2 linked regions of the Coturnix japonica genome follow. The protein of the gene in region 1 binds, or shares a complex with, the protein of each later gene. Links are inferred from orthologs where the notes say so. Each region holds a gene or a part of one and is shown on either strand. Other genes may lie near its edges.

Evidence for each region. The genes of interacting proteins can lie anywhere in the genome.
Region 2: the proteins of KCNMA1 (region 1) and KCNMB4 are in contact, whole or in part, in a cryo-EM structure (PDB 6V22), measured with the Homo sapiens proteins. The link is inferred for Coturnix japonica from reciprocal best matches to the Homo sapiens genes KCNMA1 and KCNMB4. Residues at the interface, in NP_001154824.1 of Homo sapiens: Phe98, Phe99, Leu102, Phe103, Leu106, Leu107, Arg109, Thr110, Tyr113, Leu114, Thr116, Val117, Asp238, Leu240, Trp241, Leu244, Pro327, Trp328, Asn330, Gln332, Leu367; in NP_055320.4 of Homo sapiens: Thr11, Glu12, Ala13, Glu14, Lys16, Ser17, Leu20, Leu24, Ile34, Phe35, Cys38, Trp39, His105, Thr164, His165, Val183, Leu186, Ile187, Leu190, Thr191, Ala194, Leu197, Ala198, Lys200, Ala201, Met204.

The regions. Positions count from the first base shown.
Region 1 is NC_029521.1:11,060,796-11,065,145, reverse strand, and holds the start of KCNMA1 (calcium-activated potassium channel subunit alpha-1), read right to left. Parts: upstream 2,847-4,350; 5' UTR 2,505-2,846; coding exon 2,196-2,504; intron 1-2,195. UniProt on the Homo sapiens protein: Potassium channel activated by both membrane depolarization or increase in cytosolic Ca(2+) that mediates export of K(+). It is also activated by the concentration of cytosolic Mg(2+).
Region 2 is NC_029516.1:32,484,360-32,487,654, reverse strand, and holds part of KCNMB4 (calcium-activated potassium channel subunit beta-4), read right to left. Parts: intron 1,492-3,295; coding exon 1,364-1,491; intron 1-1,363. UniProt on the Homo sapiens protein: Regulatory subunit of the calcium activated potassium KCNMA1 (maxiK) channel. Modulates the calcium sensitivity and gating kinetics of KCNMA1, thereby contributing to KCNMA1 channel diversity.

The sequences.
Region 1 (4,350 bases):
GAGGAGCTGCTGCTTCTTGTGAAATGGCTTTCACTAGCATATCCAATACAGTTGACACAGTGTGTGCATGCTTTTGCATTTTTCACCTGCAGCCCAGGCAGCCCATCCCAAGTTACCATGCAGCACAAGGCACTTATAGATTTTCCTTCCACCTTCATACCCTAACTAATAAAAACAATGTTCTCCAGTAACTGTTACTCCTTTCCCACATGGAATTCCCCCCCATTTTAGCCTGGAAGGAATGCAGGATCAGTCCATGACAGTTCTTGCTCACCAGAGACTTGGAAACCTTTACAAGTGTACCAGACACGATCTAAAAGGAGAAATCTATCTCCCCCTTCCTGCAAAGCCCTCTCTCCTCCTGCCCCAGGGATGCTCATGACCACGGCAGCTCCTCCAGGTCTCACATATGTGAGACACTCAGATCTTGCAACCCCACATAAGTGCCATCTGCCAAATCACTCAGACTGTTAGAGTCGGAACCCCTTAACAACATCTGTTATTTAACTAGCAGATACATATAGCCCAAAAGGTTTTAAAGACAAGTTAGATATGCTTATCTGTACTGAATTAGGGCTGAATTATCTGCTTGAACTACACCCCAACAATGGGCTGTTGGACCAACAAGACCCACCAGGACATTATGTATGAACTCTACACAGAAACCTCTTCGCTCCACTTTTAATTCTCTCAAGGAAAGAAGTAGCTGGCAATGACCTGTAGGATTTTCTTTTCCTTCAGGATCCCCTTGCAGCTTTGTCTCATCATGCAGAGAATACTAAATACATACAGAAGAAAATAAGCACAATTCTAAAATACTCCACCACTTGAAAATTGCCATGTAGGAAATGGTATTTTACAAGACACGTGAATTATAGCAAATGCATTTGAGCTTTGTCATCGTATCTAGCTATCACCTCTCTGAAAAAGTTTGGGTTTGATTTTGTGCAGAATAAAACATGTCTACAGAGAAGTGATACAGCCTGGGAGGTTTCCTGCAGCTTAAGGCCAGATTAATAGCTTTTACTTATGCTCCATCTCTCATGCTCCCTTCTTCCATAGATAGGCCCAGTTCCCTGCAAGAGATACACCTTTCAATGGCAGAAGAGGGGCTCACTCAGTCTCCCAGTCACTCACTGAGCTCATGGCAAACAAAGAGGGAGCCCCTTGCACCGTAACTTTGTAGCTGGTTCCCATAGGTGCTGGATGCTGTCTGAAGCCCTTTGGAGTGTGCTTCAAGGAGAGGACACAGGAGAAAGGGGAAGACAGCTCACTGTACGTCAAAGCAAACCAGCAGCCTAGCAACCATATATTAAAAGGTGTGTGTGTTTTTGTGGGTGTCCGTGTGCCAGGAATAACTGAAGCCGATATTATTCCATTTGTAATCCAAAAAATGTGAAAAGGGAAGGGGAGAAACTCCAGCTGCTGGTCTATTTTGGGGTCTGTCAAAGTCCACTTTCACAAATACAGAGTCTTAACACTTTCTATCCCATTTGTCTTAAACAAAAATGAAAGCCTGGACCTAGGCGAGATTTCAGCCTCGGCTTGATAGGGACCTTCAGAGCAGAAACTGATCTTACTGCACATACTACACTTTTTTCCTGTTGGTAATAGGCAAAAAAATGCAAAAGGTCGCTTCTGAGATATCACAATTAGTTTAGAGAGACGAGATCTAGCGCCTTATTTCTGAATGTACTCTAGCAGATACAACTCCAGATACTTACACCTAATTTTTGAGACAGAAGTGTGATAGACGAGAATCTAGAGTCGTGTAGAACTAGCTTTACAAAGACTGACTGGAGTGAGAAGTTCACCACGTTAATTTTGCCGAAGTTTCCCACACAGAAGAACGGAGGGCTCGCAGCGCACAACGAGCACCGGTCGCGCTTCTGCCACGAGCGGCCCCGGCGGTGCGTACAACTTCTGAACCGCTCCGTCCCAGCGCGCTACCACTTCGGTGCCCCCAGAGCCGCGTCCCCACGTGGGCGAGTGGAGCCTGGGGCACCTTTCGGGGCTCGCCCTCCGCCGCCAGGCTCGCTCCCCATGTTGCAGCCCGAGGTGGCCCTGCAGAGCGGGCACAGCGCTGCCACCCACCCCCCGTAGCACTCCCGCACCACCGAGGGGTATCCCGGGCAGAGGCTGGGCTCCGCTCCTCCTCCTCACCGCCACCGGGAAAAGAAGGGGAGGAGAGTTACCTTGTTTTTGACCCCGCAGTGGCAGCAGACAGTCCACAGGTACTTGAGGGTCCTCCACAGCAGGATGATAAACAGTCCCCCAAAGAAAGTGACCATGGATGAGGCGAGGAAAGCCCACCACATGCGCTGTCCGCGGCTATCGCAGGGCACCTCCATGGTCACCGGGATGATGAGCGCATCCATCTTGGGCACATTGACGGGGGAGGAGGACGAGTCTGTGTTGAGATTGTTGGCGTTGATATTGTTACTCATTCTAATGCCGCCGCCGCTGCCGCCCGGGTAGGAGCCGCCGCCGCTGCCATTTGCCATAGCTAACAGCGAGCCGGGCGCGCAGGGGCTGCCGAGAGCTCCTCCCGCCGCCAGCGCCCCCCAAAAAGCCCATCACCAGCCATATTGCTGCCACCGCTCAGCGGGAAAGGGAAAATAACGGGAGGGAGAACAAAAAGCCAAATCAAAACAAACAAACAAAAAATAATCGGGAAAGAAAAGCGACCGCCGCAAAACCCCGGTCCCTTCTCGGGAGCCGGCAGGCCGGTGAATTCCGAGCGTCCTCCTTGCGCGGCGTAAATAATAGCAATAAAAATAATAATAAAAAAAATAATAATAACGGCAAGGTAGTCCGCTCCTCAGCTTCCCACCCCTTCCTTCTCCCGCATACGCAGCCCCCGCCCGCCCACCCCCGAAAAAATCATCCACCACCACCGCCACACGCAGATGCCGCCGAGCGTCTCTCCGAGATCCCCAGCGCTGCGAGCCCGCTGCCGCCGCGGGGATCACTCGGCCTCCGCCGCGGATCTTCTCGGAGGTCTTCTCTTATTATTGTTATTAGTCTTTAACTTGTTATTAGCGATACTCAGTCCCCCCTGCGCACCCTCCTCCTCCTTCTCCTCCTCTTCCAAGTCCAGCCCCTTCCTCTCCTCTTCCCCCCGCGGTGCCGGCAGCAGCCTCCTGTGGCTCCTAATTCATCCTCCGCTGGCCCATCTGCGCGGGCGCTGCCGCCGCCGCCTCCTTGCCCATCCTTCGGGAGCTCGCTCCAGGGCGCAGGCTGCCGCTGCTCACGCTGTTGCTCCCACTCGCGCAGAGGCGCCGCCGGCTCCCGCCCCTCCTCCCCTCGTTCCGCCGAGGGACGCGCTCCGCGGGAGGATGCAGTGCGAGACGGCCCGGGATGCCGAGATGCGTCGAGGGGGCGCCGGCTTAGACGGCTCTCCGGCTCCCCGTGGGGCCGTCGGGTCCCTCGGGCGGCGAGAGAGGCGTGGCGGCGACTACCGGGGTGCGGCGCGGCGAGGGGCTGAGGCTGCTCACAGGTGGCCGCGACCGGCCGCTCCGACAGGTCCCACCGGCTCGGGCGGGTCCATCGCCGCCGCCGCCGCCGCCGCCGCCGCGCAGTGGTCCCCGCAGCCGCGGAGGGGCGGGGGCGGGCGGCCGGTTCGGAGGATGTCATGACGCAGCGGCTAACGCACGGCGCTGCCGTGGCCCCGGCCCCCGCCGACGCGCTCCCCGCGGAGCCCATCTTGCACGCCGTGCTCCGCAGTAGCCCGGCACGACATGGCTGGGGGCTTCCACCACCCCTTGGGGCCGGGGAACGGGGCTGAATGGGGCTGAGGGCCAGGCAGCGCTGAGCTGAGCTGAGCTGCAGCAGCAGGTGCCTGCAGTGCAGGAGGGCTCTAACGGGGCCGGGCGGCGGGGAGCAAGGAAAAGGCGTTGGGGCTCGCTCTGTACTGAGGGCGTTCTGGGATTTTTTTTGTGAATGGACGCGGGGAAGTGTGGCGAACGGCCCTGGAACGTTCCTGAAATTAACCCTTAGAAATAGGAACAACGATTGATAGTGATACGTTGGAGCTGGGGGAATCCGACAAGAAAATCCGGATCACTGTCTCCCGCTTTTTTCCCTCCCCCCTCAGATTTCCACTGTAAAGCAGAGGATTATTTATTTATCAATCTATTTATTTATTTATCGACCTATTTATTTATTTATTAAATAAAGTCCTCATTTGGCACACGGTCTGCTCAGCCAGCAGCCTGCACAAAGCGTCACACAGATCCTCTCATCTGTCCATGGACAAAATGCAAAAACCTGTGTGAGTATGGCTTTCCCCAGCCCATGGAGTTACACCGTTGTGCGCAGAGCCACAATGGCAGGATGGTGAGCTGGTAA
Region 2 (3,295 bases), on another chromosome or scaffold:
AACAGTGAGCTCCACACACAGTAACAATTCTGACAGCATTACCAAATTAAATTTCATAAAGAGAAGATGATGCCAATTCATTCCTCTAGAACTTTATTCCACCCTTTCTGTCTTACAGAGACAGGGAGCAGTTTGCTGCACCACACAGTTCAAAAACTGCTGACAGAAGACCTGCAGATTTTTCTCCTGAATTGAACATATTTTTCCATTGTTTGTATGATTCTTCTCGCTTGGCAAGCTCCATAATTATCAGAGCTGCAAAAGTACACCTAAGCAAGCACCCTTAGAGTCAGCAAAACTTATCTTTCAAAGCTCATTTCTATCTCCAGAAGAAAATAGATGGTGTACACATTTCAGCATAGACTAACTTCAAGTATCTCTGGCAGCGAGCCTTTCTTCTGCTGCATATAAATTGCTGTACAATCAAAGAAATAGCAGCACTTCAAGGCAGCCATAACATTTGGCAATAACATTTAACAATACAGGATTCAGCAAATATAAGGAAAAAGCCTTTCCCAAGTGCTGCACAATTGGCACAGAACAAATAGCAGAGCTTAGGCAGCACATCTCGTAACTTTGCCTCAGCCCCAGCTGCAGATGTGACATGAGAATCAGCTCACCCACCCCAGCACACCACATGGGTATCTGCACCTGGGCATATTGCCCTAAGCTCCATTACAGGAGATAGACAAACACCTCTGGGCACCCAACATAGTCAGGCACTTAATTCTGAGTGAGATTAAAAGATCCTATTTCTCTGCACTGTCGCTAATGGCTAACTTTCACAAAGCTGGCTGGAGACAACAGACTGTTCTCCAGGGCATGCCAACCAGGACTACAGTCTCAGCAGGGAGGGGACAACAGCCATAGCCAGAGTAGGAGGAACCTGAAGGCCTGAGGTGTCCAGCAGACTACCCAGGGGAGTCAGGACTCTCTGTACCTGCCAGCTTGCTTCAGTTCTCCATGCCAGATCCCTTTGGAACTGGAAGCAAAGTCCCACAAACCTTGCCTGACCTGGATACCTTAAGTATTTTCTTTCCCCTTCCTCATCTACATGGGCCCGTCACCCCCATCACTGCTGTTCTCTCAAGGCACTGAAAAAAATAAAAAAGATGCTTTTTGCCATAATACTGCATGATTTAAAGGGAACTCTCCTTAGAGCTTTGTATTTTTTACCTCAAGTGGTAAAAACGCTTTTCCATTCCCACGTAGCTTTTCACCAATAGAGCTGTCTTACACTAAATTCCCTGCATTAAGCTTCATCACTACATGAATGTACATACACATTGTGCAGAAAGAACCAAGAGACAGTTGCTAAACACACATATAAGCACTTCCATCTATGCAAACATACATTACTTACCTCAAGTGCTGGTTAAAATAGCAAGTAAAGGGCTGTGAACCCACTTTCTCCTTCCAGTATTTCTGCTTGTACGTGACATTCTCAGAGTTCTCCTGATCATCTCTGGCACAGGGAGGGATGTAGGAACACTGTCAACACATGCAGCAAAACAGAGTTACTTTTGTGCTTGAGAACACCAGGCATCGCTTTCTCTGCATCTTCCTCTGAATGCCAACACTACTGAAATGGGCAAAGAAGAATTAATACAGGCTCCAAAGAAAGGCAACTAATAAGTAAGCTGAACTTGACTTGACTTGATAGTTACACCCTGCAGGTACTGGAAAAGGATTCAGAAACATTCAGAAACAAAATCAAAGATTAATCATGTTTTGTTCTGTTATCAAACCAACCTGCCGTGTAACACCTATGGGTGTTTGGTTTGATTTGCTGTGGTGATGAATGTGGAAACAATCAAAGTATTCCAGCAAGTTGCAGACAATGATATCTGATATCTAGCTGATATTCTTTGGCACAAAGAACGTTTTCTGCCACTTTTACTTGAGCAAAAAGCAGCACAGAAAGTTCCAACCCTCAGTGCAGCAGAGCAGTTCAGTGTCTGCTTCTACCATAGAGAAGTCAGCCATAGAGACGCAAGCTCCTGGGTTTGGATATCTGCTTCAAAGCCCCAGGAGACCAAGCGCATTGTCTCCCCAACCACAGCACACTTGAGACTGGGCTTTCAGAGATGTAGCCCTGGATCACTCACAACACTCAAGTCTTGTCTTTTTACAGTAGTTCCCACCCTTTTATCTTGATCTGAAAATGAACTAGATTTGCTTCTGTCTCTTCTCTCTGTATCTTCATGGGAAAAACACAAAGGAAATGCATGGAATCTTGTCATAAATCACTGGAACCTCACTGGTTGAACCTCTTGAGAAACAACGACCTCAAAGAAAGGAGTGGTCCCTACATGAATCCTACGGGTCCCCCTGAAAGATCTACTCAACCCAGTAAGGGCCCTGAGCAGCAGGCAGCACCTTAAGTCCAACTCCAAACTTGATTTATCACCTGCTGCACATACATTGGAGCTCATTTGCTTCCCCAGGATGCCATCAATAGTTCTCACTAACCCGGCGTTCATTTTGGCTCCTTAGATGGGATAGACAGGAACAATAATCTGGAACCTTCCAGTGCCATGAGCTGGTAGGTGAACCTGGGATGACCTCCAGCTTTGGCAACAGGCAGTTTCTGAAAGGTTAATTCCACAGTCCTCCCCCACAATACACAGTGTGAAATCCTACCATCAAAACGTAACTAAATGCCAAGTGTCTGAAAGCAAGCTAGGATGCCTCGCGCTTAATTGCAGCCTAAGAAGCAACATCCATTTTCAGTGGAAGGGTCCCACCCTGTAATACTTTGATGGTTTTTCTTCAGTCTGTTACAAAGAAGTCGGAGAACAGCGCTTAAGATTAGACATTCAGAATAAACCTAATGATGCGGGGAGCTTTTCATACGATCTATCAGTACATAGCGCACCTCCTACACTACATCACAGCAACAATAACATCATTATGCAATTTAAATGCAGTCTCAATTACACAGCTCAAAATCAGTACTAAGCTAATAATATTCACTCCTCAGTCAAAGCCGCTGTTTGGATAGATGACTCAGGATTCAATTCAGTAAAAGTGTCAGAGAGCAGCTAACACGACTTCACACCATGGTTTTAGTAAGCTTTGTGTCTGCTGTGTTTGCTACACAGTGCTTCCCCACCGGTATCTCTGCAGCATCAGGCCCCTCATCTACCCCAGCCAGCGGGGCCAATGACTCACAACCATTGGAGCATCCCTGGAGGAATCCCAACTCCACCACCAAACTGCTGCGCTGGCGTGAAGCAGAGATCACGTCCTCCCAGTTCCACCACTCTGTCTCAAAAGTTAGATGGTAACTAGT